Lepisosteus oculatus: one gene and its partners. The protein of the gene in region 1 purifies or fractionates together with the protein of each later gene. This does not show direct contact. Links are inferred from orthologs where the notes say so. Each region holds a gene or a part of one and is shown in the gene's direction. Other genes may lie near its edges. The genes, in order: chromobox protein homolog 3-like, l3mbtl2, mgaa and coiled-coil domain-containing protein 71L.

Evidence for each region.
Region 2: the proteins of chromobox protein homolog 3-like (region 1) and l3mbtl2 purify together in Homo sapiens (affinity purification with mass spectrometry; 5 studies listed by BioGRID and IntAct, with this or other methods). This does not show direct contact. The link is inferred for Lepisosteus oculatus from reciprocal best matches to the Homo sapiens genes CBX3 and L3MBTL2.
Region 3: the proteins of chromobox protein homolog 3-like (region 1) and mgaa purify together in Homo sapiens (affinity purification with mass spectrometry; 4 studies listed by BioGRID and IntAct, with this or other methods). This does not show direct contact. The link is inferred for Lepisosteus oculatus from reciprocal best matches to the Homo sapiens genes CBX3 and MGA.
Region 4: the proteins of chromobox protein homolog 3-like (region 1) and coiled-coil domain-containing protein 71L purify together in Homo sapiens (affinity purification with mass spectrometry; 3 studies listed by BioGRID and IntAct, with this or other methods). This does not show direct contact. The link is inferred for Lepisosteus oculatus from reciprocal best matches to the Homo sapiens genes CBX3 and CCDC71L.

Annotation. Positions count from the first base shown.
Region 1 is NC_090705.1:811,722-819,625, reverse strand, and holds the start of chromobox protein homolog 3-like, read left to right. Parts: upstream 1-4,887; 5' UTR 4,888-5,162; intron 5,163-6,770; 5' UTR 6,771-6,776; coding exon 6,777-6,913; intron 6,914-7,657; coding exon 7,658-7,823; intron 7,824-7,904. Other genes in the region: nfe2l3 (nuclear factor erythroid 2-related factor 3), read left to right, coding at 1-756.
Region 2 is NC_090707.1:38,080,075-38,087,437, forward strand, and holds the start of l3mbtl2 (lethal(3)malignant brain tumor-like protein 2), read left to right. Parts: upstream 1-4,350; 5' UTR 4,351-4,447; coding exon 4,448-4,560; intron 4,561-4,906; coding exon 4,907-5,050; intron 5,051-5,499; coding exon 5,500-5,693; intron 5,694-6,275; coding exon 6,276-6,382; intron 6,383-7,363. Other genes in the region: st13 (hsc70-interacting protein), read left to right, coding at 1-1; E3 ubiquitin-protein ligase RBX1, read right to left, coding at 1,665-1,677, 2,467-2,552, 2,965-3,035, 3,478-3,556, 4,208-4,285. UniProt on the Homo sapiens protein: Putative Polycomb group (PcG) protein. PcG proteins maintain the transcriptionally repressive state of genes, probably via a modification of chromatin, rendering it heritably changed in its expressibility.
Region 3 is NC_090703.1:12,651,891-12,659,630, forward strand, and holds the start of mgaa (MAX dimerization protein MGA a), read left to right. Parts: upstream 1-4,734; 5' UTR 4,735-4,789; coding exon 4,790-4,904; intron 4,905-7,289; exon of another isoform or gene 7,290-7,444; intron 7,445-7,473; exon of another isoform or gene 7,474-7,538; intron 7,539-7,740. UniProt on the Homo sapiens protein: Functions as a dual-specificity transcription factor, regulating the expression of both MAX-network and T-box family target genes. Functions as a repressor or an activator.
Region 4 is NC_090702.1:39,616,337-39,624,045, forward strand, and holds coiled-coil domain-containing protein 71L, read left to right. Parts: upstream 1-4,707; 5' UTR 4,708-4,813; coding exon 4,814-5,413; 3' UTR 5,414-7,302; downstream 7,303-7,709.

The DNA of each region.
Region 1 (7,904 bases):
TCGCTGTCCCACTGCGAGGACGAGGGGGCCGTGGGCTACAGCACCGACTCCGACTCGCTGTCCGGGGACGCTGCCGCGGGGGCCTCCTGGAGCCTCAAAGAGCGTCGCCCCCAGGGGACGGGGCGCTCACCTGCGCAGCTGGCCCAGGGCGTCCTGCACGACCACACGTACTCTTCTCCGCCGCCCCAGCGCGGGTCCGGCCCGCGGGGGCAGCAGGCGGGGCGCGGGCCCCTCGGGGCGGTCAAGAAGGAAGGCGGCGAGGAGGACGAGCTGAGCCGGGACGAGAGGAGGGCCCGGGCGCTGGACCTCCCGCTGTCCGTGCAGGACATCGTGAACATGCCCGTGGAGGAGTTCCTGGAGCTGCTGTCCGGCTTCCAGCTGAGCGACGCCCAGGTGGCGCTGATTCGGGACATCCGGCGCCGGGGCAAGAACAAGGTGGCGGCGCAGAACTGCCGGCGCCGCAAGCTGGACGCCATCGCCGGGCTGGAGGGCGAGGTGGAGCGGCTCCGGCGGCACCGGGACCGGCTGCTGCGCGACCGGGCCCAGCACAGCAAGTCGCTGGGCTGCCTGAAGCAGCGGCTGGGCCAGCTGTACCGGGACGTGTTCCGCCGCCTGCGGGACGAGCAGGGCAGGCCCGTCAGCCCCGGCCGCTACGCCCTGCAGTGCCACAGCGACGGCAGCGTGCTGCTGGTGCCCCACCGGCCCGGCGCGCAGCGGCGCAGGCCCGACCGGGCCAGGAAGGACAAGCAGCACTGACCGCGCGGCGCCCGGACCGGTCAGCGATCCCCCTCGCGGTCAGAGGGGCCGGCCCAGAGGCGGGGGGCGCTTTGAAGAAGGCCGAGACGCTCTTGCTCTTCTGGAGAAGTGAAACCGGGGCTTTTTAAGTTGAGAGGGGAATAATAAATGTAGCTTTAACACTGGAAACACGGTAGAAATGTACAGTGGACGAGTCCACCGGTCTGAGGACAGTGTCCAAATGCAGACCCTTGGTTTGCCGCTTTAGTGAGTAGCGGCGCGTGGAGGCAGACGCCCGGCTGACCTGGGAAAGTCACTGGTTTCCAATCCTCCCACAGTGCAGCTCATTTGCCCCACAGGTTCCCGCACGTGTTTAACAGTCTGGGAGCGCAGAGTACACGTGCCGCTCACCTGCGGCACAGGCCACACCAGTGATTTCCCACTAGTTCAGGCCGGCAGCTGACCGTCTCACCCTGCGGCATTATTCATTGACACCGTTTTCCAGCAGGGCTCTTTTTCACTACTGGAAGTTAAAAGAGGCACACCTGAAGAGGCTGAAACATTCTCTTTTGCTTTCTGTATGGAATTAACCTGTCACCTGTTCCTTTGCAGACTGCGCATGCTGATCCAGCTGCCTACTGTACTACATTCTCACTACTCCCCTTTACTCCTCATCAGGAACTCAAAGACAGTACTGGCTGCAGACATGCGTGTCATGTAGCATTTTAATACTCAAATGGGCTAATGGCTTCAGCACATAATTTCAGGTTGACATTTCTATGTGTGTAGAACACATCACAGTCTTTGAGAGCGGTTGTTTGATGGAACATGTTTCCCTGTCCTTGCTCACAGGAATATTTCCTCCATTTTGCACGAGGTTGAGTCTGCTCTCTCCCTCGGACACAAGCGAGTAAGGAGTTTGCACTGACTGCACTGTGGGGGTGTTGCAGAGATCCTCATCCTCCGTTTCAGTCATCAGACTGAAATCATTGGATGCCTTCGAAATGAACTGGATTTGAAATCGGCAGTTTTCCCGGGTGTACGATCAGGCAGTACAGGCAGGGTGACCACTGTGCTCCCTGTGTTCGGCAAGATCTCCACCTGTACTGCAGCTAGTCTGCAGGTGAGCGTTGGCCATGTGTCTCCAGGCGAACGGGGGGGTACCACAGCAGATCGTCACTCAGACCTCTGTGACCTCACGGTTCTGACATGCCTTACTGGTTTAGTTAATAGCTTGACTTGACTCGTCGGCTTTTGATTCTTTTCTGTTACTCGGGGTTATTCAATTTACTGAAAGTCTGTAAATTCCAAGTGCGATTATACAACATTAGACATTACAAACTTCCAACAAATGCCTTCACTGAGCTGATTAATGCTTGATTAATGTAAACTTCAGCTCGTGGGAGTGGAGAGTAACTGAACACCGTTAAAAACAGTTCAAACTTTTTTTTAAGTGGCCTTAATGTTCTGGGAGGCTTCTTTCAAAGAGCGCTTTGTGGATCAAACAGCTGCATTTTCTATATGCACTATATTTTACAATGTTTGTATTATGTATTACAGTTTTGAAAATGGTTATTTTTTCTTTTATGACTTTCGATACAGTACTTTGTAAAGAATCAGATGGGATCACACAGAAAGGTTAAAAACTTACCAAAAGGGGCCAGACGGACCTCGTTTGTAACCTTTCTTATGTTCTTCTGAAATATGAAAAGCACAAAACCAGTTATTTTCCTTGCGGGTTTGCCGAGACAGTGGTGGTCTGCACTGATAATGGATCAGCTTTGATGAGTGTTTACTTGTCTGGAATATTTGCACTAGGGTTTCTGTGACTGCAAACTGGGATAAATGCCAGGCTGATTCTTGGAGAGAACACGTTTTCTGAGAAACGGGTGCAAGTACCTGGCACTGTATCTTTACCGCTGTTCTTATGGCATCAGAAATGACAAAGACATGGCATACTGAAGGCGTTCCGACCTCCCTGCGAGTGTATTTGTGTCGTGCAGAGGGCTCGGGGCTCATGTCACCCCCTTGAACCCTGGACGGTGTCGACTGTCCCGCGGTGACCCGGTGTTCTGGCGCCGTGCAGCTGGCTGCTGTGCAGCGGGTGGCACTGGTTCTGCTCTGGTCCACGAGCCACTGTGACAGAATCCCAGCAGGTACAGAGCCCAGTTGCAGTCATGGAGTTTTGAAAATAAGTTTTTTTTTCTGTTCTCCTCTTTTCCGCTCTAGTTTGATTTCGGAGCCTTTCAGGTGTCTTCCTGCCCGCCCTCGCCTGCTTCCCAGTGAGGTGAGCACGCCCAGGGCGGCGCCTTCCTCTCTCGCTGTTCCACTGCCATCGCGGTGCCAGCCCAGGTCAGCCAGCTGACCCTGGTGCCCAACTTCACAAAGACACGGGCCTTTCAGGTTTTATGTTGAAGGCTGTATCCAGGCCCTTGCTGTGCATAATAATCACACAGGTCGTCCTTCTGTGCTGCAGGCCCTGGATAGTCTGTATAACTGAAGATCAGATCTACAAAACTGATGAGATAATGCCATTATACCACCTAGACCTACAACACCATCTAGGAAATGAAACCAATCTGCTTCAGATGCAGGGCTGAGAATAAGCTTTTGGCAGGCGAGACACCAGGGCAGCCAAGCTGTGGGGATGGGAGTGGGCAGTGACCCCTGTCAGTCCACATGCTGCCCCTCTGCTCTGTTGGCTCCGCTCTGTGTGGGGATGCAAACTGCAGGAGAAGCACTTCCTGAAATGCTTGGGTTCCAGTTGGGTTCAATTGCACCATGAACAATATTTTTTTATTTTTGTTGTTGTTTCTTAGCATAGTTTTTTTTTCTGTTTAATTTATGCTATTTGATTTAAATTATCTTTTTTTATGGACTTTGGATTAAAAATACTACTTACCTGGTGCTTTCTGACTTGATGTTGTGTTTTTAATGAATCTGGTGGCCTATACTGTAGATGCACTGCAGAAAAATAAAAACTGAAACAAACCAACTGTTTACCCTGAGTCTTTCAGTCATTTCAAACTTCCTTTTCACTGCAGTGTTTTTCTATTTACATAATTAAAAGGCTCGTGGCTTTTTTTGTGTCGATACCTCAGAAGCAGGAAACATGAGGCACAGAAATGTCTTCAGGCAGTCTGGTACAGATCAGCTCTGAGAGCTGGAAACAGCAGAGGCATCTTCACTACGTCTGGTACAGATCTGGCTGTAGTTCCTGCCCTTACAGCTCTTTATTCTCAGGTCATGCTCTGGGTGAATGCACCAGATTTGATTTTCTTGCCAGACTCCTCTTGTTCTCCGTCTTTGTTTTCCATGACGTCCGCTCTGTTGGCTGCCCTGTCCTCGGACTCCGCTCCGCCTGTTTCCCAAGATCCTGGGATGGGCGCGGCTGAGAATGATCCTGTGTCCAGCCTGCATCCCCAGACTCCAGCTATGAGGTCCACAGCTACAGCCTACAACTTTCTAATGTCAACAACTCTCATTACAGGGAGGTCCAGATGAAGTACCTGTTTGATATATGCCTAATAGATGCATGAATCACAGGAGCAGCATATAGGTCAGGCTAAACCCTTGACACTATTTTCACCATTCCTGAAGGTGGGAGTGTTACATTTACACAATGTTTTGGAAGAGCTGATCTAGAAACTGGTAAAACCCCACAGGAATGCAGGCAGACCATGCAGACAGGAGCCAGAAAGCTCTAACACTCTGGAGCTGTGAGACAGCTCTGCCTTGTGTGCAATAAACTCTCTAATAAATGAAAACAACAAAGATAAGTTTTATATATTTTATCTTACGGCCTGTGTGTCCTCAGTGATATCAACAATGAAGACAAAATTCCAGTACAATTTTAACTATTACAGAAAGTTTGCCGCCCCAGTGCAACAGTTGGAAACGGGCTTAACAGCAATCAGGTGCCTATTGAATAAAGAGCATCTGGAAACCAAAGAACGGTGTGAAAGAAGCATAGTGTGGATTAGCAGCAGTGCATGTACTGTTACCTTTTCTCTTGTTTAAAAAAAATCTGCAAACGTGAAATAATTTGATGGCCACGCCTCTTGCGAACTCTACTTGATACCACCAGTATCCCACAAACGCTTGCGAGACCCGACGCTAGCCGTGACGTCACCTCCTGTGAACTCTCACCTTTACGCTCCCCTGCGCGCGGTTCTTACGCTGCGGGACCATTGTGAAGTTCGTCACGCAAGCGGCGTGCGCTCCTTGGAGAATAGTGTTTGCGTTTGAACCGAAGAAAGAGGAATAAAAATAAGCAGCGGGTCAGACTAGTGCGTGCTCGGAGCGTGAGGGCTGTGCTGTTTTGTGCTGTGCAAGGGCGCTTGGTCAGCGGCGGTCCGGACGGGGAGCAGTTTGCGGGCCGGGTTGTGAGAGGTCGGGGGTTTTGGCGCCAGGCGGACAGCTCGCAGGTAAGAGGCCGCTCGGCGCGGGCAGGCGGCGGGGCTGTGGGGCGAGGGGCCGGGGGCAGTTCTGTGCAGCCGGGCTGACCCGCAGCCGCGGCTCGGAGACCTCACCGGCCGCCCCCCCCGCTGTCCCGGGAGGGCCGCCCGGGGGGAACGCTGTGATCCGACTTCTCTTCTCGGGGATTTTGTGCACAACAACACTTCAGACGCCGATACCCGCTGAGCAGCCCCTGTGGCAGGAGAGCGGGGCGGCCGGGGGCTGCAGGCCGGGGGCTGCAGGCGGGTCTAGCCCTCGTGTGGGAGACCCCTGTTCCCGCTGCGGGGCGCCGCTCTTCTCGGTCCCGGGTGTCCGAAGACGCCGGCGCCGCTGTGCTGCGGATGCCGGGAAGCCCCTAAACTTGTGGGGATCCCCCGTCCATGTCTGGTGGGGTTTTTAATACTCTTCGGTGTCTTAGACGAGGAGGCCTCGGCACCCGGCCAGGCTGGGACGTCCCGACGACCCTTTGTTCCCCGGGTGTCCGGCGTGAGTCGGCTCGGCCGGGGCTCTCCGAGACCGTGGGCATGCTATGCTGTCCGGCCATCTTGGAAAAAGCGTGTTTCTTCTCCGTTTAAAAAGGAGGGAAACCGGGACGGTGTCGGTGGAAGTAATATCCTAATGAAATGACTCTCGGCGCCGGTGAGTCGGGGCCTGAGGTGAATGTCCGGAGGAAGGGTCAAGCCGGCCCCGGGGCTGCAGCGCAGCTGCACAAAGGCGGCGACGCCGGAGTGGCTCTTGCGCGGCAGTCGCTCCGGGGGGTTCAGCTGGGGAAAGTAGCCCGTCCTGCGGTGTGTCGGGGAGGACCAGTCCTCCTGTTTCCTAACGGGTTTCGCGAACAGTGCCCGCACCTCACAGGTGTGCGATAACCCCTGGCAACGTCTCTTGCTGTTAATAATAATAACTCCTTAGACTTATATAGCGCTTTTCTGGACCCTTCACTCAAAGCGCTTTACAGGTAATGGGGATCCCCTACACCACCAGTGTGCAGCCCCACCTGGATGATACACCAGTACTCTCCCCACACACTAGCCCTCAGTGGGGAGGAGAGCAGAGTGATGAAGCCTGGGGAAATTTCGTCAGGACATCAGGTTTACACCCCTACTCTTTTCCAGAAATGCCCTGGGATTTTTCCTGACCACAGAGAGTCAGGACCTAGGTTTTACTTCTCATCCTAAGGACGGCGCCTTTATAACAATATGGTGTCCCCATCACTGTACTGGGGCAGTAGGACCAACAGAGACCGGAGGGTGAGCGCCCCCTACTGGCCCCACTAACACCTTCCAGCAGCAACCTCAGCTTTCCCAGGAGGTCTCCCCTCCAGGTACTGGTGAGCTGCAGGCTGTGTTAGGGCCCTGCGTCAGGGTTTAGTACTTCTGTATGGGCTGCTGTCCAGCGTGGAGAGAGAGTACGGTGCAGCTCCACAGCTGGAAGGACTTGCGGTTTGTTCCACCTGCGTGACATTCCCCTCGTTCTCGATGTTCCGCTGCTCATCCCGGGACGTTGCAGTTTGGGTTGTTGGAGTGGCACATCGAACTCGGCTCTCGTTACTGACCCCCTCTCCCCCCCCGGCTCCGCAGGGCACCATGGGAAAGAAGCAGAACGGGAAGAACAAGAAGACGGAGGAGGCGGAGCCCGAGGAGTTCGTGGTGGAGAAGGTGATCGATCGCCGCGTGGTGAACGGCAAAGTGGAATACTACCTCAAGTGGAAGGGCTTCACGGAGTAAGTGCGAGTCTCGTGCTGAGGGTGGGGGTTGGCTGCATGGGTTCTGGTTAACGGTTTTTCAGCAATTCCTGGGGAAATATGGCTTCTGAGCACTCTTGCCAAAGCTGGCAATGTGGGAGTGAATAGTCTTCAGCCTGTGTACCAAGGAAAAGCGCTCAACACGTGAACTCTGACCTCGAGCCCTTGTGAAATGGATTTTAAGTTTCTCCTCCTCACATATCAATCTCCAAAGGGTCAGGTTCCAAAGTCATAAGTCTTTGAGCATGAATGTGTAATCCTGCTCTTCACCAGAGCTCTGCTGATGCTCTTCTCCCTCTGACCCGACTCCACACAGTGGCGCTGGAGCCTGGGGCTCACTGCCCAGGTCTGTTTAGAGACACGACTGTTGTCGTGTTCCTTTTTTAGTGCAATAACACTTCACTTTTTGTACTTGGTGTTCTGTTTTTTTTCCCCAGATTGTGTAATACACTGAAACATTCTAAGAGTGATGGAATTTGTATTTCTGATGATTAAAAAAAACTGTGCAGGTATTCAGTCAAGCCCGCGTTTCAAGAGATCTGTTCGGCTGAGCCAGTGAGCTCTTCAGTGTGTTTAAAATGCTAAACCCGAGTTCTCGGCGAGTGGATTTACTAGGAAACTGCGGTTACTTGCGCCAGGCTCGGTCGTGAAGTAAAAGTGCTGTAGTTCTGAGTTGGAAGCTGTGTTCCTACAGTGAGTGAGTGTCACTGTTGCCTCTTGTAGCGCTGATAACACATGGGAGCCAGAGGAGAACCTGGACTGCCCGGAGCTCATCGAAGCCTTCCTGGCCTCGCAGAAGTCCACCGTGGAGCGCACGGAGTCCAACAAGAGGAAATCCGTCTCGGAGAGCGAGTCGGAAGAAGGCAAAGCCAAGAAGAAAAAGGAGGCTGTAAGTGCTGTCGCGTGGCCTGCTGCGCTGAAGAGTGAATTGCTGGAGGTCCCAGTCTCGGTGAAGAAAGCACACTGCATC
Region 2 (7,363 bases), on another chromosome or scaffold:
AAGCTGGGGGTGGGGGTATAGGGTGGAAGTGGGTGTTGGGGGGGGCAGGGCAGGTGAGGATTAGTGAATGACAGAAAGCACACTGTGCGCAGCTGTGGCTGTTGGGGTGGAGGGGGCGATCTGCCCTGCCAGGACACCTTTCTCTCTACGCAAGGCCCTGATGAAGTCTGTATCCAGAACCTCAAAGAGCTGGGAGCATCCCACCTGCCCCCTTCTCCTTCAGGGGAGGATGTTAAAACGGGGGGGCTATCAAGAACTGCAGAAGTCCAACTAAGGGCAGGTTTTGCCAATACCTGAAGCACCCACTCAGGAGATAAGATCCAGAGGCAACTAGCACTGTCCAGGGCACCCCAGGGAATATTTAACTGCCCCCTTAGTGGGCGATGTTTGTTGGTGTATCCAGGTGTGCAAACCCAAGGTTTAACTTGCAGCTTTCCTATTTACTTCTCTACTTCAAGATTTTTTTTTTAATTGTTAAAGCAAAGGACAGCTCTCTGAAATGGAGAAGAGCACTAAATATCTAGCTTTTGTGTTGGGAATTAAATGAATTAAATCAAATCTAAAAAAAAATAAAGACATGAAAATGTTTTTTCTGGAGTCATTTGGAGTGTTTTTTTGTGTAACCTTGATCTTCAGGAGCTTTTAAATCATCAGCCCATACTACGGCAGGGGCTGTGTTCAGTTCACACAACTGACTAGACAGCCCTGCTGCAGACACACTGACTGACCCCCCAGGACCAGGACTGGGGCAGAGGCAACTGGTCACATGACCCAAGCTCCACCCCACAGTATCAGTCACACGGCCTCAGAACACACAGCTATGGGGGGGGGGGGGGGGGCGATATGCAAATCCATTTAAGCAAAAGAAAAGTGGTACAGCACTATCTTTGTTTCCTATTTAGCTCACACAATGTATATATTGGACAGCAGGTTAAACCCCACTGGTGTAGAAAGAGGTTCACCTGGCTCCAGGGCAGTGGAAGTGCAGCAGACTAGTTGCACTCTCAGTTAGATTTCACCCACGATCACAGCATTCCTGCATCACAGAACGCACTTTTACATCTCCCATTGTTCCTACTTTGCCCTCTCCCTCAATCCTGGTCCTGGTGACCCCCACACCTGCTCGGTTCCATTCCACCCCCCCAAATTAGACAATCAAAGCCCGTCTTCTTTGGAATATTTGCATTGTGGTTGTAGTCACAAGTTTGGGGTTTAATTTCACGTTAAACAAACACGCCGGTTAGAGCTTGACCGCATTGATGAGCCGCGAACAAACAGTTCAGGATACGGCAACAAAGCCTCTGACTGGGTCTGGAAGAAGAACGGGCAGGTGTGTGGGTCACCAGAACCAGCACCGGGAACCACTGCTCCACCCATCCAAAAAAAAAAAAACAGACAACAGGAAGCCTCCTTACATTGAACACAGAGGTTTATTTATAATTTACAAACGGACCGTGAACGTGTTTTTTTTAAAAAAAAAACTCAGACTATTTCATGCCAGCTCATGGGGAGACGCAGTCGAGAGAGAGAGTGCACCCCACACAACAGCTGGGGCCAGGCCCGGGGCCAGTGCCCGCGTGCAGAGGGGAGGAGAGGAGGAGGAGGGAGGGGCTGTACGCCAGCGACCTGTAGCGTAGCCACTGCCCAGTCCACTGTCCTTCACCCTAGTGTCCGTACCTGCAAGGGCAAGGAAAGCACAAATCAATCATTACACCAGGTAACAGCACCACCCACCCACCCACCCGCCCGCCCTGCCAGAGGGAACAGGATATTGCACACCAGACGATCCCGATTCCAGCACACAGGTGCACACACGCTACACACCTCTCGTCCTGGCAGACACGGACTGCACACCTGCTCTACAAACTGCGCGCCCCGCAAGCGTACAGCTCGCCTTTACCAGAACGCGATTCGCGAGACGCGAATGAATATTAATCAGCTCTTGGTTCGATCGCAGTGCCGCAGGAGAGCGTGCTACCTCGAATAATCAATAACCGTTAGACCGAGCTCGGTCCCGTCTCTGGGAGCACTGTGACTGGACAAACAGCTCATCAACATTCCACAATTCATCCCGAGTGTTGCTCTTCACGCCCAGGCTAGCCAGGAAGGGCGTTCATTCACAAAACAGACCTCCTCTATATATACACACCCCCCCCCCCCAGCCTAAAAACTCCATCCTGGTGCCAAAGCATATTTTAAACTATTTTAGTATGAGCAGGAAGGAGAGAGCCCTGTTCTGTTCTTTGTGTGTTCTGGACTGTGAGTAACTCTTCTTGGTGCCCTTCTCACTGTACTGATTGTACTGTATTATTATTATTGTATCATTCGTTACACTGTTTCTGTGTTAAGCTGCTGTTGCACTGCAGTTTCCCTCACGGGATCAATAAAGTATCTGTCTATCCAGGCAGGGATGCCCGGCAGGGGATCCTGTCTATCCTGGCAGGACACTCCAGGGGAGCTACTCACTTCTGGAACTCCCACTCCCGGTTGTCCAGGGGGCAGACCTGTCGCGTCTTCAGCCAGCGCGAGATGCAGTGGAAGTGGAAGGCGTGCTGCGGGAGAGCAAGGGGAGAGGAGGGGCGGTCAGCTTGGGGGTCTTTCCGAGAGGTCGGTCGAGCAGGGGGGGGGGGAGGGGGGCTCAGGTTCCAGATACCGGGGGCAGCTCTGGCTCCTGTTTCCACTCATCTCCACACCCCCCTTTCCAGACAGGGGGGTTCAGACAAGCGGCACGGATTACAGGAGGGGGGCGGGGCGTTTGCGGGTTCGCCCCCACGCCCGTAGGGGAACCCCCCTCGCGGCTACTCTGTTCGTTCACACGGCGCCAGTGCCACCCGTGTGCCCCTCTGAGGGGCTAGACAGGGCGAAAACCGGCTGTCTGGGAGAGCCCAGCGTGGCGGTGGCGTCTGTGCGGATGAGGCCCAGAGGAGGTCGAGGGAGGGAGGGAGGGAGAGCGCTCAGTCTTACATTGCAGACGCCCCAGGCCACAGTGCACTCCTCAGACGTAGCAGAAGCCTGGTTGGCCTGACATTCAATACCTGCAGAGAGAGAGAGAGAGAAAAACACAGCAGCGTGTTACCCTGTGAGCTTCAGAGGCACCTTAGGACTGGCACCTGAGTAAGACACCAGCGTCTGGATCTCATGTCTGTACACTCATACTGTGTCAGTGCATCAGTACAGTATAATTCATGTCTGTACACTCATACTGTGTCAGTGCATCAGTACAGTATAATTCATGTCTGTACACTCATACTGTGACAGTGCATTCACACAGCTCTGGGCTGTCAGTGTATTGGAGTCAGTATAATTAGTCTCAACACTCTAACCATGCCTGTACAGTCACACAGCTCTGCGCTGTCAGTGCATCAGTGTCAGAACAGTATAATTCATGTCTGTGCACTCTTACTGTGTCCTTGCATTCACACAGCTCTGCGCTGTCAGTGTTTTGCAGTCAGTACAGTAGAACTCCCATTTACTCACACAGGTCCATGATGTGGTTCCTGCAGATGGCACAGTTGTCCACCACGATATCCCAGGCCCACAGCGCTACTGCATTCCACTAGCAGCGGGGGGAAAGACAGAACACTTCACTTACTGACAGTGCATGCACCAACCTGGCTGACCCTGACCGGCCACCCGCTCGAGATGTGTCCACCCGCTCGTGTTCTCTGCCTGCATGTTGTTATTGCGACATTCGTGAGTCTCGCCCGGCCTCACATCGGGAGGGCCGAGTAATCCGGCAGAGCGGCGCTACTGGGCGCTGTTGTTGTTGTTGTTGTTGTTATTATTCATTAATTAATTATTATTTATTAAAAGGGGCATCTGGTGCTGTAAACCGTGTCCGAGGTGCTGAAAAGTGTATTGCTTTTTTCCCTCCCGACCAGCTTTGTCGGCGCTTGAGAAAAGAAACAGCTTCGTCATTCAAAAAAAGCGAGGAGAACTGAACCGGCTGAAACACGAATACACACTTGTTATTCTCAAAAAGCAGGCGCCCGACAAAAATAGTTTAAGCTGGCGCCCTCAGAAAAGCCTACGGAAATAAATCCGTAAGCCCATTAGCCATCGTTAGCTAACCACGCAAAAACACCGCAAAGCGTCCAGTATTACTCCCCAAACACCTGTATGTTACAACCGATTAACAACAGTCATCAACTTAATCTCTCTCCGTCCCTCCGTCCTTAATTTTTCCTCCTCGAATTACTCAAAGTACCTTTTTCACTTCGAAACGCTTCTTGCTGGCTCCGCTGTTGGTCCCGCTCGGGGCGTCCACATCCATCGCTGCCGCCATCTTGTCTCTGGGAACCCTGGCTCTTGAGCGCCTGCGCTGGCCGTCGCTTCCGGCGGCGAGCTGTGACATCACGGTCCCCATAACAACAGGGCCTGCGGTTCCACACGAAGCCTGACTTTGTACCTGCAGCCTGCCGGCCCGCCGCAGAAGGACGCGTTTGCGATGGTCCAGTGTTTTGCCCCCGACTGCAACCATCACAGCGAAAGAGAAACCTGCAAATTCTTCCGTTTCCCCAAGGATCTGAGGCAGTTCCGAGTTTGGCAAGAGCGATGCAGGTTGGCACGCCGTTTTGCGGGATAAACAGTTAAAAAGTGACATATGGCAGGTGTCTTCGTTTCACCAGTATGCCTCTGAAAAACCTGCAGCCTGTTTTGCGTCAGAGTATCGAGCTATTGAGTGACAGACCAAACCCCTGCCTGTTTTGACAGAAGGCTTTAGGTTGTCTGGTTGTAGTTTCTGTGAGCTTCTCTAAACGTGAAATGTGTCGTTCAGGAACAATAGGATGGCGATTCTTTGCCTTACAAGTCCTGTTCCTGTCCTGTCCCCCCACAAACACACAGAGAGGCCCTCTAGAGGCACCTGAACTGAGGGTCAGGCCAACCAGCCGGTCTTTTCTTCCAGGCGGCAGGACAAAGACCCGAGCGTCTTCTCCAGGCTCTGCAGCTGCCACTTCGCGGAGGGGAAGAAGGACAGGGGCCCGTCCATCTTCAAGACCCGGGCCACCGGCCCGCGGGCCTGGACGCCGCAGAAGAAGAGGAGGAACCGGTAAGCATCCTGCGAGAGGCAGGAGGGGGTGGCGTTCTCCCAGGGAGCCAGGCAGGACCATGGGGCACCGGATCTGGCCAGGACACTGGGGTTACACTCCTGCTCTTGTCGAGAGACGCCCTGGGATTTTTAATGACCACAGAGAGTCAGGACCTCAGTTTTATGTCTCATCCAAAGGACGGTGCCTTTTTACAGTATAGTGTCCCCGTCACTATACTGGGGCATCAGGACCCACACAGACCGCAGGGTGAGCGCCCCCTGCTGGCCCCACTCACACCTCTCCCAGCAGCAGCCTCAATTGACCCCAGGAGTCTCCCCTCCAGGTACTGGCCAGGCTCACCCTGCTGGGCTCCAGTGGGGCTGCCGGCTGGGAGCTGCAGGGTGGTGGAGCTGCTGGCCGTATCACTAGTGGGATAAAAGTGAAGAGGATTCCATTCTCCCGCCTGCAGGGCCCCCGGTGCTGAGCCTGCAGGGCCTGTGGTGCCGCTGGACGCGCCCAAGCAGCCCGAGCCTCTGCTGTTCCAGCCGGCGTCCCCTCTTGGCCCGGAAGGCGGCGCTCCGGGTCCCACTGGCGAAGAGGGTGGCGGGGAAGAGGAGCCCGGAGTCCCAGGAGGGGTCCTGCATCTGTCCCCTCCCTCCCGAGGTGAGGTCAGGGCCCGGGGAGATCGGGGGCGACATGAGGACAGTCACAGAGGAGAAGAGGCCGTAACTGATGGCTCTACTTTTTCAGTAACTAACAGATCTGTCTGCCATAAATAACCGGACACCTCTTGGCAAAAGCCAGGGTATCAAAACCATGGCAGGGAAGCTTGTTCCCCACTCCCGCCCTTTGCGTAAAGTAGCCCCCCCGTCCCGATTAGAGGATCGAATCCAACCGTTTTGGGGAATTAACTGTGCTTCACACCTTAACTTTTACCATAAATTGTCCACAATTTTAAACTTAAGGCCTGTGTTTTTGCTTTTATTGCAACAGTTTGATTGGAATTTGCTACAGTAATGTAAGCTTGAGCATTGAGCCTTCTCGTTATTAATTTTTTTACAGCGTGTAAGAACATGTGGGCTGTGTTCCTGCTAGTGACTTGCCGGTTCTGGTGAATCACAGATGCCGACTGTTTATTGCTCAGTTTATTCATCCATTCGGGACGTGTTAGACTGGGCCTGAACCCAGGGTGTCGGTCAGCACACGGGATGCGATGGAAGCCGCTGTGCCTTGTGTTCTCCGCAGCTCCAGCGCCGCCCAGCTGGCTGCCGGCTGCAGCAGACGGCTCCGCGTCGCAGGCGAGTGTGGAGAGGCATGTGGGCTCCCCTCAGGACCCCATCGCAGAGCTGCAGGTAGGTGATACTGCTGCTGTTACTGTCACTGATACTACTGTTACTGCTACTAATACTTCCACTGACACTGCCCCTGCTGTCACTAATACTACCACTGATACTACTGTTACTGCTACTAATACTACCACTGACACTGCCCCTGCTGGCACTGATACTACCACTGACACTGCCCCTGCTGTCACTGATACTACTGTTACTGCTACTAATACTACCACTGACACTGCCCCTGCTGGCACTGATACTACCACTGATACTACTGTTACTGCTACTAATACTACCACTGACACTGCCCCTGCTGGCACTGATACTACCACTGATACTACTGTTACTGCTACTAATACTACCACTGACACTGCCCCTGCTGGCACTGATACTACCACTGATACTACTGTTACTGCTACTAATACTACCACTGACACTGCCCCTGCTGGCACTGATACTACCACTGATACTACTGTTACTGCTACTAATACTACCACTGACACTGCCCCTGCTGTCACTGATACTACCACTGATACTACTGTTACTGCTACTAATACTACCACTGACACTGCCCCTGCTGTCACTGATACTACCACTGATACTACTGTTACTGCTACTAATACTACCACTGACACTGCCCCTGCTGTCACTGATACTACCACTGATACTACTGTTACTGCTACTAATACTACCACTGACACTGCCCCTGCTGTCACTGATACTACCACTGATACTACTGTTACTGCTACTAATACTACCACTGACACTGCCCCTGCTGGCACTGATACTACCACTGATACTACTGTTACTGCTACTAATACTACCACTGACACTGCCCCTGCTGTCACTGATACTACCACTGATACTACTGTTACTGCTACTAATACTACCACTGACACTGCCCCTGCTGTCACTGATACTACCACTGATACTACTGTTAATGTTACTTATACTACCACTGACACGACTACTATTACCACTATTATTTTTTTCTTGAAA
Region 3 (7,740 bases), on another chromosome or scaffold:
AGGAGTTCTCATAAAAACATCAAGGGGCACAGCTACCCCAGGACTCTTATGGGTACATTCCATATGTGGGTTATCAAGGGATATTAAAAGTAATGTTTTGTTAAAGAGATTTTTTGATAACTCTTGCTCTGTTGTCAGTTTTCACAACTGTGTGTAAATATGCTGTCATTACTTAAAGATTTTAATACTTCCTTAAATAACTGTTACATGTGTAAAAGTTGAGATATTAAAAAAACACATGAAAAAGATTGATTGGTCCCTGGTGTTCTGTTTATTCGTCTGTCGGTGCATCCTGTAGAGTCACAACAGACAATAATCGGTACAAATATACCAACCAGTAAATATTTCAAGGTATTACCAGCTTGTTTGTTCCAAAGGAGATGAGATTTTAACCCTGGTGTTCCAGCTAACTTCCACTCTTGTACATGCAGGCTTTCCAGACTTCCCCTAAACTCTCCTTAATTCAAAATCATTTTATTCCATTTTTTTAAATCTTTTTTAAGTGAAAGTATATTAAAAAGGCAATGTTGTGCATTAACTATAACATTGTTAAGCATAATCCTAAGCAAACAGTATTTTAGCCAATCTAGCGTTAAGTGTACTAGATATGGTCCCAATTACTTTCACAAACCCACCTGACAAATCATTTTGCCAGCAGAACGTTTTGAAACGCTGGCATCGCAAATCCATGGTTTTCTTTTCCACTGGCCTTACAATATAAACCCAGTGAGTGTTGTTCATCGTGTAGAAATGCATCATCACAAACAATATTTATGAAACGTCTTTTCAAGAGGTAATTGTTTTTTGTGAAATTTCTCGTAGGCTGAATTCCAACGTAATGTATTGTGTATTAAATTAAAGACAGAGATGAGTATTTCAGCTATGTGTACTTGTAAAAAGCGACATAGACAGTCGGCTTATTCGGTGTGTACGGCTCGTCATTGGATAGGCTGGTGCAAGATACCAAGTGCTTTATTATCGAGACGCCCTGCTTTTATGGCCTATTTGTCCCACAGCCTTAACCGAGGCTATGGATATATTTTATACACAGTCCCTTAGTACTGAAGACTGAATTGATAGTATGAAGCAGAAACTGCGATTCACAACATCACATCTCATTAAAAGCATTGAGGAGAACTCCTTCACAACACACACCCCCACTCTAACCTAACATGTTTCAGTCTCAGTGGAGGATGGAGCTCTCCCCAAACTTCCTGTTGACAGGTCTGCTTCAGGAGGTTCTACCTGTGCTATTTAACGCTTTAAGTGTGTTGAAGATCGGCTTGGTTGTCTCACTACAGTAACAGTTTCATTTTTTATCCGATATGACCATATATGATCTTAGACGGCCTTCTTTCAATTTCAGGCTGTCGGGTCAAGATACATTCTGAATCAGCCAGGTCTCCTTTCCACAATGATAATAGAATTAACCCCTGGGGGTGGGCTCTTCGACGCTTTTAATTATGCCAATCGCTCCATTCCGAAGCTCTGTTAAAGGTTGATCGGAGCCATCTCCTGCTGCAATATCGCGTGGGACAAATTTGCCTTGTGTTGTGTTGTTCATAAGTCACATTTCATGAGAGAAACGAAATGCTCTCTGCCTTAGATTTCTCCCTGCGCGTGTTGAAAGCTCAAACACGTTCTCCCTATCACGTGACCAAAAGAAGCTTTCGTTTTCTATCAGTGACGCTGAACGAAGCTCTATACCGACGGCGACAGTCGGTTCTGAATGCTTTATTTGGCTTAATATAAGTCTTCAGGCACGCATTGGGTACAAGTTGAGGGTTTTTTTCAGACGCCGAGTAAAGTTTATTAATATTCTCTACAGATCTGTACACACTGGTGTTCTAAGAAAGGCATCGCCTTATCAGCTCACACTAAGCCTTCAAACCTAAGGGAACGTGCACGAAGTCAGCGACTGCTTTCTTTCATGACACGAAAGACGTTTTCTCGTTATCTTACGTGCAGTACGAGCGGATAACAAACAAAATCACATTTTGATAGAGGAGAGCCCAGCTTTCTTTGCGAGCTCATTTCAAGCTGCCTCAAAAAGAATTATAATAATACCTGGTTTAAACTGCACCGTGTACGCAGACGTGGAAATAAAATTAAACGGAACAACGCATTCATCCTAGCAACGTTTGTAGGTATTTAAGGACACTGACGCTTCTTTTTTCCTGATTATACATTTTCCTGATTGAGAGTATGAGAAAATGCCGTTGGACTATTCATAGGGGCGATAAATTATTCATTTACGTTCGTTTAATCTGATCCTGTAATGTAGATCACACTCCACTACCATTTCATATTGTGAAAGAATAGGCTACATTAAAAAAACATCCTCTCCTCAGCTCAGTCCACATACTGTGTAAGTACCTTCTAATGAGCAATGAAAGCGGCTCAGCCGTCCGCGGCGAGAGGGCGGAAGGGGGGTCGGGGGAGAGTTGAGAATTTCCGGGTCTATCCGTCTATTATCTAGCCGCTTCGGTCAAATCGCTGCCAGGGGGAGCCGGAGTCTACCAACAGGCAAAGCGTACACCCCGGCGTGGACGCCAAGCCATCGCAGGACACACACTCAGACACGCACACACTCACACCAGGGCCAGTTTACGCCAGAACCTACCACTATGTCTTTGGGCTGTAAGGGGGGAACTGGAGCACCCGGCGGAAACCCAGGCCAGCACGGGGAGAACATGCAAACTCCACACAGACAGCACCCCAGGTCTTGAACCCGGGCCACCGCGACGCCGAGTTTCCGGGTCGTGTTTTTTTCTTCAATTGATTTCTCTCGTTACGTTTAAAGATTAAATTTGTGGAGGGGTGATTGCTGTCTGAAACCTAACAAATATCATCTGCTTTGCGACAGTGAAACTATGCCTTGGCAAATAAACTAGCAGGTTGTTTGAGAGGTACGGTAAATATAGTCCCAGAAATGTTCGTACGTTTGAAGGGATCTGAGGTGCGCCTTGGTGACAAAGACATAATTTAGGGTTTTTCTCAGCACTAGTTTTCGTAACTTTTCTTTCGCCATCATCCGCGGTCGCTTTTTCTAGCAGGTCTTCTCTCCAAAATGTACAGCTATTTTTTGACCGCAGGTTTATAATCCGATTTAGTAACGTGTAAATGTTAATTCCACGCCGAAATATTAAAAAAAGTAGAAAAACTCAAAGTGTGGTGTGTGGAGCCTTTTTCTAACACGAGGTGGGGAAGATGAAGAGAGTAGGAATATGATGCGCGAGGAGGGGGACCTTCTGGACAAACTAAAGTCTGAGAGACGAAGACCGAGGTGTGAAAACCTGAACTGGGTAAATTACTGGAGGGGTTTAAAAAGAAAACACTATCTCGGTGAGAACTGGTGGAAGGTGTGATCCTAGTTTAAAAGATACTTTTTGTTCCTGAAATTGAAAGCGAATACATTATTACCTTTAGGTGGGTAGCTGCGTCAGCATGCGTAGACTGCAAAGGAACAAGTAATAGGTTTATTCCATGCTGAAAAAAAAGAAGAGAACACAACGTTTCGGCCGTGGAGCCTTCTCACACCTGAAGAAGGCTCCACGGCCGAAACGTTGTGTTCTCTTTCTTCTTTTTTTTCAGCATGGAATAAACCTATTACTTGTTCCTTTGCATTATTACCTTTAGTTTATTTGGCTTCTGTGTATTTAACTGCGAGCAACTTACTTAAAACGTAAGTACTTAAAAAGGCCAGACACCATTTTGAACCGTGATCGGTCCTCTCACCGATTCTCTTAGATCTGCCCTTCAGGACAACAAACACTCTTGACGGGGGATAAACTAGTGACGCTTATTAACGTTAAACAGCAGGAGGAAAATGGGGGGGGACACATACGCGGCCACGGGGAGAGAAGACAAACTCCACGCAGACGTCCACAACCAATCCCAGGTCCCGGGAGCTGGGACACCGTCAGTCCAGCCCCAACCTTTTTTAAAATATGTTAAACCTGACTACTCAGCGCAGTCAAAAGCGGCATAGTGAAAAGTTAAAAAGTGAACAGAATGTAACTTTAATGTAATTTTAAATGGCGTAGACATTCTAAAAAAAATGGAAAAAATATTTTGTTTGAAACGAGTACAGTTTAATCGTGTAGCGCTTGCAGGTTCGCGGGTGGGCGGCAAAGCCCAGGATGGCTCAGGCTCTGTTCGGAAAACCAGCCCGGCTCTAGCGTGAGGCAGGACCAGCAAACGGCCGGCTCGGTCCCAACCTCCCCTGTGTCCCCCAAAAGCAGGACCGGACAGAGGCGTACCCCCAACACTCACAAGCACGGAACAACACTTAACGGTGAAAACGGCTGGAACACGTTGTGCTTTTCGTAATTGTATATAAACAAAAGAACAACTGAAGTGTTCTCTCGGAGACCCCGGGAACACGCTGGGCTCTCGTCGTGGGTTTGTCAACTGCGGCCACCGGAGACCGGGGTGAAATTCCGCCTCTTGTTTTCTCGGGGCAATAGTGCTTTGTTATTACAGGTTCAGTAACTCTGCGAGAGTTGCCAGAATTCGGCTCAGTTTCAGTAATTCTGCAAACATCCCTTTCTTCGGTGTGTTTTTTTTATGATATAACGCCTTAAAATCTTGTAGAATTGTAGAATTAGGGCCCAGTACTACATGTTGCGGGGTCTCATCTTCTCTGAATACACTGAAATCCCGCGTTATAGTCATCGATTAGGGTCATGACGAACGCGACTCGAGACGAATCCGCCTCTTGCCTCCAAGCGGCACCCCCGCCAGCCTCCTCTCACCTCCGAGGATCAATAGCGCTTAGCAGCAGCGCATGCTCGCTGCAGTACCGGAGCCCTGCACTCCCCTCGAGTTTCTCACCCGGTCCGCGCCTTCGCAGAGCCGTGCATGGGAGGACTGGCCCGCTTGCCAAAGTCTTGTTTTTCGAGGTAAAGCGCTCGCTTCTGCTTCTAACAGCGTGCTCCGGCTGGTTCGAGACACGCGTTTCGCCGGCGTCGATTTAAGCCGGCCGGCTGCCTTTAACTTAAAAGCGCGCAGCCCGCGGGAGGGGGAGGGAGGGTGCTGCCGGTGGTCACCTGACGACACTGGCACACGACTCCGGCGAGAGAGCGGTGCACGACCCGGGTCGCCAAACCTAGCGCCTGAGCACGGAGGCTGCTTTTAGCGCACTTCGAGATTTGTATTGAAACCGAAAAGAGCCTCTGCCTTCGACACCTTTTTTTTTTCCAGCGCTTTTTTTTTTAAAAAAAAACGGGGCTTTGAGTATCCGTGTTTCTATTTCGCCCTATCACCGCCCGCCATTCCCTCAAATGTACCTGGGACTGCTGCTGTTGCGGAGGGACACGTGACTGCCGGCAGCCAAGGGAAGGCCGTGCTTCCTTGTCGTCATGAGGCTCGCTCGAAACCCGTGTGGCCGCGGATTCACACTTATCTGTGTTAGGCGTGCTGTTCTTACAATGGGGGCACTGCACATCACGCGTTTAAGCGACACGTTTTGAAACAACGACAAAAAAAAGCTTGAGCGTGTGCAGGCGGTTTCGAGCCAATCCCCCCCCCCAAAAAAAAAATGGATGAATGTCCCTTGGCGATCTAGCAATTGTGGAGCGTAAAACCGTGGTGACCGCAGTTGTCAGGGGTCTTGTTTATCGTCGGGTCAGTTTAGGAATTCGTAGTCCAAAGTTTCCCTCTTAATAATGTCGCAGTTCAATTTCCATTTCTGCCGGTATTCGCCTGTGGCTCGGGGTGCATGTGACCAGGCAGTAGCCAATAGGACCCATCTCGTTTTCAATGTCGGATGGGCTGCAGCCTTCGAAAGAAATAGGTTTATCTAGCCGTGGACGCGGACTGAAAGACGTTCGTGTTGGCCGGATAAAAAGCTCAGATTTAATAAGCATCTTCTGGTTATCTGCCATGCTCAAAAGGTGTGGGAAATGGGTGTGAATGCTTATTGGCAGTGAAATTGGAACTTTCCTTCTCTCTTTTTTCTCGCTGTAGGAGCAAAACCCCATATCTGATGTATGTTATGCGTTTAATGTAATTGAACCGCACATTCATCTCCTAGTTCTCGCAGGAAAATGAAGGAAAAAAGATAGCTGATATTTCACGAAAGGCAGAACACACAATTGCAAACAACATTGTACTGTATGTAGAGATGTCTTTCTAAATATACATATAAATCGAATAAAGTATATGTAAAACAATAGTTTAGAGGAATACTGAAATATATAAATTCGATACTGTTTTAAATGGAAAGCAAATGACAATTACTATATTTCTGGGTTATTTAGTAAATTCAAGATTTATTTCTGCTGTGGCTGGTCTTGTATATGAATACTACACGGCCTAAAGCAAACCTGTAAAATAAATCTTTTATTCTCTTAGAATAATAGAATGCTGCTCTGTAAGCTTAGACATTGTAGCTCAAAGGTGACCATAACAGAAAGTTCACGCAATTACAGTTTAAAGGGCGAGCACTCCTTATGTTGTTGTTTCCAAGCGATTTTAGACTAACAGCTCTCTCGCCTGCGCTGCGGTTCGATTGTGTACTCAAATGCTGTCACTCGTGGACGTTGCTTCTGCTAGTTAGTTCTGTCATAGTAATCTGGCAAAACATAGTGTAGTAGCTCTTGCGCAGGAGCCGGTAGTTTTAGGGATTTTTCAAATGTAAGATTACTGTGCAATAGTTATCCCGAAATGTTGTATTTAAAAAAAACCCACAACTAATTAGTTGATTGGTGTCACTAGATAGCGACCAAGAGCTTCTAGTGGCAATATTACTTATACAGTATCTCTTCTCACGTATGTGCTGGCTAGAATGTATCTTTCTTGATCTCTTTCGTTTTTAAGTGTCGGTATGAAAAGGGGTGTTTGCTTGTTAACGCTGTTTTTGTTGAAATGCGTGCTCGCACCTCCACTACGCGGCTGGTGGGCTTCTCTCTAGGATGAACGAGTGTTTGACCTGTGCTTGGTTTTCGTTTTCTGCATCTGCTCTGTCTGCCTCGGTGCCCCGCTGTATCGGTTCTCACTAGCTGCTATTTTGTTTCACACGGCAGGCACCACGTGAAAGTATTTCTTTTGAACGCCGACCAATAAAGACGTTAAATCCCATTCGATTAAAGTGCATTCGCGTTTTTTAAAGGCGGGCTTTTCCTTCGTTGCTGCCGGTGCTCGCACAGATCCCGATTTTAAAAAATAAAAGCTTTAGCCGAGCTCGGTGCGTGCGCAAAGAGGCTTTGTATTCCCACGTGACTGGCTCCTGCTGTCCCGTACTGGGCAGAGCCTGCGCGTTAGGCGAGAACGTGAGCGTGCCACCACAAGGACTCTGACGTAGGTGACTGAGAGCACTCATGTTTTCTCCAGCTGGGTGAGACGTACGGAGTAAGAAGGGGGAAAAAAAAGAACGGAAAGAGCCAATGAGCAAGTCAAACGACGGTCGGATTTCGGGGTGATGTTTGCACGACTGGGAAAGGTAACAGCTCAGCGGAGCCGCGGTGGAGCGCGTTTGCACGGAGAAAGAGACGGCGCCTGTTGCCACGAGTTGGGTGTTGAGAAGATCCCCGAGGGTGGGCTCGCGCTCCCAACGCGTTGGCTGGAAGGGGGGGAGGGATTCACGCGCCATTGAGGCTGTGGCCGGGTTTTGCACGCGCTGGGACCGCCAGTCATGGTGGTGCCAAGGAGACCGCGCCAGGCCCACGCGCTTGGGGTTGGCATCGTCGAGGCGGCCAGAGGCCCGCTTCACCATGTCCTTCGACAGGCATGGGAGCG
Region 4 (7,709 bases), on another chromosome or scaffold:
ACCTGGGATGTCTCGCATGTGGCATTCTAGAAAAATATATCTAGCTAAATATTAAGGATTGACATCACCCCTTTTCTTTTCTTAGTACCACCATCCACGGTCTCCTCTATATATTGTAATTATGTTTTATCTTGTGTATTCTTTTTATTGTTGTTGTCATTCTGTAAAGCACTTTGAGAAGCCACCTTTAAAGGTGCTATATAAAATAAAGTTTATTATTTATTATTATTATATCTGACCCATAAATGGAAGCACTACTACCTGTTGGTGGCTAAGCGTAATTTATGGATAGTAATAAACAGAGGAGTTTATTTGCCATATATATATGTACAATGGGATTCGTACTCACGACGTTCTCTCAGGACATGCACAGTACAGCAGACAACACTGTACAACAGATAACACCATACATTGTGAACAGTACATTACCAAACAGTAAATAATAAATAATGGCAGTGTGTACAGACAATCCATTCAAAAAGAATGCTAAATACATGGTAGAAAGTGGTAACACTTGCCAGAGAGCAGGGAGGAGAACAGTTTGTGGCCAAGATGGTTGAGATCCTGAATAATGAATTGGGCTTTACCGCGACAGTGGATTATGTGAATCTCACCGAGTGATGGCAAATCACATCCTGTAATCGTCTGTGCCGTTGCCACAATGCTTTGTCGTGTATGGTAGTCATAGTAGGTAGGTAGTCAACATACAGTGACGCCACTAGTGAAGACACTTTCTATGGTGTTGCGGTAAAAGTTCACGAGTAGCTGTTTCCCCATACCGCAATTTTTTAGGCACCGCAGAACCTGAAGGACCTGTTGTGCCTTTTTCAGGCTGGGCTTTGTGTTCTGAGACCAAGCCATGCTGGCCAAGATCTGCAATCCAAGTCTCCACTGTTGTGCACTCAATGCTGACTGGGGTGTGACTCTCCCTGGGTCTCCTGAAGTCTACAATGAGTTCTTTAGTTTTTTTGTCTTGTTGACAACAATTTGACCCTGAACGTCAGGGCAACATCTTGTAAGATGATCCACCTCACTCTTATGAGCTGACTCATCATTGTTACCGATCAGCTCAATAACTGTGGTGTCATCAGCGAATTTGATAATATGGTTACTGCTGGTGAAAAGGGAATATATCCTAAGACTGAGACAGCAGCCTTGGGGAGCTCCAGCGTATAGGATCACTGTGGAGGAGATATTGTTGCCAGTTTTCATCATCTGAGGTCTGCCCGTCAGGAAATCCATTATCCAGTTGCAGATAGGGGTGCATAAGCTCATATTCCTGAGTTATGGGATCATTGTGGTGTGAACAACTGTGTTAATAGCCGAGCTGCAATATATAAACAGTATCCTAACTTAGGTTCCCCACCTGTCTAAATGTTCGAGGGTATTATGTAGTGCTAGAGAAATGGCATCATCAGCTGACCTGTTTGAACACTAAGCAAACTGAAGTGTGTCAAGGGAGTCCGCAATTTGTATTAGACAACACAAGACTTTACAGGCACTTCATGACCACTGAATTGAGTGGCACTAGGCGGTAATGGTCCCATGTTTTTCTTGAGCAGTGAAACACCTCACCTGGCTTCAGGACTTTGCTCTTTTACCCTGGAACTTTCGTGGACGACCCTAGAACTTGTATGTTGCTCATACTGTATGCCATCATCTGTACATAAAGTTATTCATTGTATTGTACTCTGTTGGTGAGGCAGGCAGTAATCATTTACTGATCTTTCTAGTAGGTGTGATTGCAGAGCAGAAGGCAGATCACCCACTACTGTCTCATCTGGATTGAAGTGCAACATTTTTCTTTACAACATCCAATCAAAATCTAGGTCTTTCCTAAGGATGGGATCAGACCAGTCTTTTTTTAAAAGATCTGGAGTATTTTTTTCCTGGTGCAAAGGAAGGTTTGATCTTATATAGATTAGTAATTTAAGTTGTTTAACGCCATGAAAATGAGCACCAATTAAACCTGGATCTACTGTATATTAGGCTCCTTGGACTCCTTTTGATGGATCCCAATTGGTGTTGCAAGAGTTGTGTTCGTGCATCTATTTACAGAGATGTTACCTGCTGCAGTTTTTGTAAATGTCGTTCATTGCTTGCATGATAAGATTACTATGCTGCCCTTTGTAAATTGATCTAAGACTAAGTAGACGTTAAGTAGAGCTGAGCTTTCTTTCAATTTTACTATGGATGTGGTTGTGTCCTAATTTATTTCACAAAATTATAAGGGAACTGCTGCTACTTGTTTAATTGTGTATTACCATTGACAAACTAACATGGTCTAGAATTTACTTTGTTTCTTTTGAACACCATGTAACACAGATTCTGTCCTGCAGATAAAATATCCCAATGAATGGGCATTATTTGCTCTTTCAAACTGTGCTGTGTATTTATTCATCTCTTCTTGCATTGTATACAGGACTTTAATTCTTTGAAAACCTGTCCATTGTCAATTTCCAATGTGATAGCGCAATCAATGGGATTTACTACAGGACTGCTTGATTCAAAGCAGACCTAAAGATAGTAGCTGCAGGAAACAAAAGTTATATTCATTTAGTTTCAGGTTTGATTTTTGTTCATCCGGTGGTTCTTTTTCTGATTGTTTTCTAATTGTGTAAGTAAGGCATCTTCGGCAACCTGATTCTTTCAGTTTGCTAGTTCTGATCATGAACCTCTTTCCTGAAATGTGATGCTTTCCCCAGTTTTTTTTCCCTAATTGTGTTTTCTGCCAATATGCTGGATATTCCTCAGGATGCGTACTGTGTTTCAAATGTATTATTTCCTCATATTGATTTTCATCCCTTTGTAAATTTGAGGCTCAATATATTATTGAGAACACAGCACCATGAAGAGATCCTCGTGTATTAAAGAATGAATTTTCCTTTCTTCAGTTTTAGGTAAGCACAATAATGCTGTGATATTTTCCAATAGCAGGAACTAGGTAATTTGCAGCAAAAGCTATTTTTGCCAACTTGAAGTCCCATGTTTCATAAAGATGTAGCATGAATGAATTTGGTCTGAAAGTCTAGTTTACAATATAAAGATTAATGTTGCCACACATATCCAGTCATAAAATAAACATTTTGCAACTGAAAATGTGTGGCAACATTAATAAACATAAAATAAACATTTTGTAACGGGACACGTGTGGCAACATTAATCTTTCATAATAAACATTTTGTAACTCCAGAAAGGAACTCACCAGAAAGACATCAGTAGCCAAGATAATCGTTATACTTGGCTCACAATTTCTCTCTTATCTCAATAACAAACTAATTTCTTTCATTTACAGGTTTCAGGTTTTCACAAATCCCTCCTAAATTTGTCTTTGGATGCTCTTTCTTATCTGCTCTGTGCCCATTTTCACTTACTCTGATTTTAGTTTTCCAATGCTTCACATTCCTGACACTCATACTACACAACTGCCAATGTTAATCTTTACTATCTTCACAACAAAATCTACTTAAATCTCGATTAATTGACCTTACTTGATATGATTAAGCATGCTTTAAGTTTCATTACTTGGTTTTTGATATTCTACACTGGAATATATATATATTTCTCTGTAGGGTGAATGACTAATAAACTCTGAAAAGATATCACTAATATACAGGTTCCGTTTATAAAATAACTTGAAGAATAATAGTGTGAATTTTTTCAGTTAGAACTGTGTGTGTGTTTATATGGAAAGGTTGCTCTCAAGGAAACTCCATAATCCTAGTAGTTGTTTCTTGTAAGAGATATGTGTGTTTTATTGGCCACAGTAAGTTAAAAAAGCAAAGCATCTGTCTTTGGCTTTTAACACTGACTTTATATGCACAAATGTATAATAAGAATCTGTTTAGACAGTTCCATTTCCTCACTTTGGGCCACAGATAGAAGTAATTAACATTAATTCCCATAAATCATCTGTCTGCATATATTTTTAAAAGGTTTCCCCACATTATGAAACCTGCTAAAAAAGCAATACTCTGTATCTGATAAAATTGTGTTTTTTGGCGCTATTGTAATGTTGAGAAAGAATGTAACAAAGTAATTTGAATTTAAGAAAAATGTTAATACATCTCAACTAAAGACCACCAGGGAGACTTGTAAAACTGACGAAACAAGATTTGTTTCTTGCAAAAACTCTTACGTGGTTGTATTTTTTCATGCTTAGAATTACTTTAACTAATTAAGTATTAAATAGCAAAAATACAATACATTTTGTGATCTGAACTGCTATTGTTGCTTTACAGTTAAACAGTTAGTATTCAGGAGAGTTTATTTTACATAAAACATCTCTCTGAACGGGAATAGGGTGCATTCTCAGATTTGGTCCTTAGATTATGTCTTCTATGACAATTTCAAAAATAGGTTGTTTTAGTAGACATTGTCAATAATACTTGGTAATACTTGATTTTGTCAGGTGGGGGGGGGGATTTTGCAAATTGCCTTTTTTTTTCTTCATTCAGAAAAAGATGGTGCAGTTGCTTCAAAATCATATTTCAACTAAACACTTGTGTGAGGATTAATGTAGTTTTGAGTTACACTACAGATTCTAGCGTCCTCGATTTTATAAACAACCTTTACAACGGAAACAAAATCATGGAGGCAGGGAATCCTGGGATACAAGTTTGAATTTCGAGAGGGAGGGGTTTCTGTGATGATGTAATTGAAAATTGCTTTATAAAGTCGTCACGTCCGCAGCTGTCTCAGCCATTTTGTTCCTTTCCAGAAGAGTGGATGTATATCGCGAAACTTCGGCTCTAGCGGCAGCTGGTGGTAGTGCGTCACCGAAGAGGGTCAGGAACCAAGCCAAAAAAATCAAATGGAGGAGGAAAAAGTTGTGTTCTCAAGATCTAGAAATTCACTCCTTGGAGAGACTGGGGCGCTGGAAGAAGCCTTTAAACTTTTCATTCCTCCCATCAAAGACTTTATAGCTAATTCCGAGGACGAAATATGGGATTTTCTTTGCAGCTTGAGGCACGAAGGCTTTTCTCCTGTTATTCTGAGGAGTAAGGATGTGTACGGGTATTCATCCTGCCGATCGGTCGTGCCGGATAAGAGGAAGGGTGAAGGCGAAAGTACTTCGAAAGTTGTTTCCAAGAAGCCCAAGGCTGTAGGACGACGCGTGAAGAGGAAGCGGGGCAGAAAACCATGGACATCGAGCAAAAATAGGAAGAAGACCGGGTCTGGGTCGCGGACACGAAACTCGCAGGGCACAGCTGGCGTGCACCCCTGTCAGATGAAAGATCTGGAGGAAATCTGGAGGGCAGCAACTCCTCAGTTGATTTCTGTCCGGTCGGTGACGCTGGAAGAGCTCTCTTCGGGAGATGACATACCTGCGGCGAGACGCAAAGCTGAGAAACTGATGAATGTGAATCTCACTCCCGTCCTCAGGCTCAGGCGCTTGGTTATGCCGATGTAACATGAATTCTGAAACCGGAATGGCTGCTATTACGACAAAACTGCACTTTAAACGGAATTCTTCCTGAAACTTTACCTTAATATTGTATTACCTTATGTAATTCCCTGGGAAAATAAGAAGCAATGGAAAGCACAAAAAAGTGAATTCCTAATGCTGCAAACTTGTAAAAAAACGCTTTTTTCCCTCATGTGTGAAAGGACGTTTTTCTTAACTTCTGGAAAGGCTTAAATAGTTAAGTCTGAATTTAACTTGTATTTTAATTCTTATGCCAAAATGGTAATTACCAGCTACGTTTTTGAAGTCACCAGCTCACGAGACAGTTTGTCCATTTCTACATGGTTTTTACTGATGTACAAAACAATTTTTGAGTGACATACTTTCTACTATATCTTGGAACTCTGTCCACGAACCAGCAGTGTGAACCCCGATGGGTTCAAATCTAAACTATACGTGTAGGAGTGGAAGGCAACCGAGGGCAAGAACTTTTTGTTCTGAACTTCGGCTGCGTTATCTTTATTCAGGGGTCGAGTAGTGTGCGAACGCAATCAACTCCGCGTCACCCTCTACGTCACTGTCGCCGGAACAAAATTACAGAAGTCACTAAGAGGCGTGGATGGACAGATATATTGTCACCATGTCGGCACAGCATGTCAGTATGGCGTTTGATGTATTCGCACGTCTAAACTGTGATAGGTTTCAGTCGAAGTGCACACTTTTAACCTAGTTTAGTTGTTGCAGCCAACAAGACTGAGTTCTTTCATAAATGGTAGTTTTTTTCCTCAAGTGATATAGTGTCTTATTTATTGTTCTATATGTCTCTGTAAACACTCTTTAGAATTTTGTGTCGTTTTATTTAAAGCATTTGTCAAGTTTAAAGTACAAGTTTTTTTGGGGGGGAAATGAGATCTCGAGTAATGTAGCAGGTATAGTGCAACTTTGTGGAATCGTTGATATTTATTTTGATTTGAATAACTTATGGAACCACATCCTGCAGCTGCCAAATTGGACACATGATTGCGTTTCCCCTTTATTTCGGAATGTAGCCATAATGCAAATAATGGTGTAAATGAAGGGGAAGGTGAGCAGGTTTTTTTATTGAAATCCTGGCATTGATGTCACAGCACTCATTTTTTTTATAACCCCGTATGTTTAAATAACTCCACGAAGTTCCTGTCGGTCTTCATTCATCTCCCACCTTCCAAAGATGTGCTGGCTGTCTTAGAATTTTTGTCTCTAAATAGTCCATTTGGGCCGGGTAATGGTCTGGCATCCCACCCGAGGCGTAGACCCACTTCACGCCTGTGCTTCCGCTAATGGCTGTGGGTTGCTGTGACCCTTCCCAGGAATAACAATGGTTTCTGAGAGTGGATATCTGGGCAAGGCTCAGCTAAGGCCAAGCTAAAAAAAAAAAATCCAGTTTTCCATTGTCTGCTTGGTGGTTTGAAAACCTTACTGGATGTAAAGAATGTATATATAATTTGCCATTTTGACGGAAACGACTGCACTCTGTATTTTTAATGCAAGAAAATCCTACAAAAAGTACAGATGGGTGTTTAACTGTATCTATTATAGATACAGCAACTGAACACGCAGCACAGAAGTGAGCAGATGCTTAGCAATGTTTGGGGAGGCTGACGAAGATACACAGGGCTGGCCTTGATTCCATGGACACGATGGACTGTTTGGAAACGATTAACATTTTAGCGGTGGTGGTACAACAGGGTTCTGCAACTTCTCGTATGCAATGTTAAAAGGGCTTTCTGAAAATGTCTTATTTATGCTTTGATCTCTTCGTTCTTTTTATATTATTTGATATGCTTTGGATATTTTTTTTGTACGTGGTCTGAACTGGAATCTTATCTTTGAAATAAACTATTCTGTAAATTGTACGAATGTGTTGTCCTTTCCGTTTTCCTCCTGTGTGTGTATATATATTGGTTTTGATTGTTTTACCAACAGCTTCCGGTTTTGGCTTCAAAATCCATACTTTTGCCAAATTCAACAGCAATATGTAAAAAGAACTTGCTTTCCCCGTGGCTAATGATGTATTGTTTTCAAGCCATAATGAGGCGGACTTTTCAGAAGCTGGCAACGGGAGAGTACACGTTGCTGGGGACAGTTAAACAGCAGATGGCAATATTGTTCAGTTCATTCCGACATGCTCCATTAAAACGAAGATCGCAGGAGCAGTTGCGTATTTGGGGGTATAATAAATTTGAACGCCATCTTGGAAAGGAGAGCAAAAAGATAGTTGGTAGCGGCTGCATTGTGATGTCGAGCTAAAACAAAGACGCGT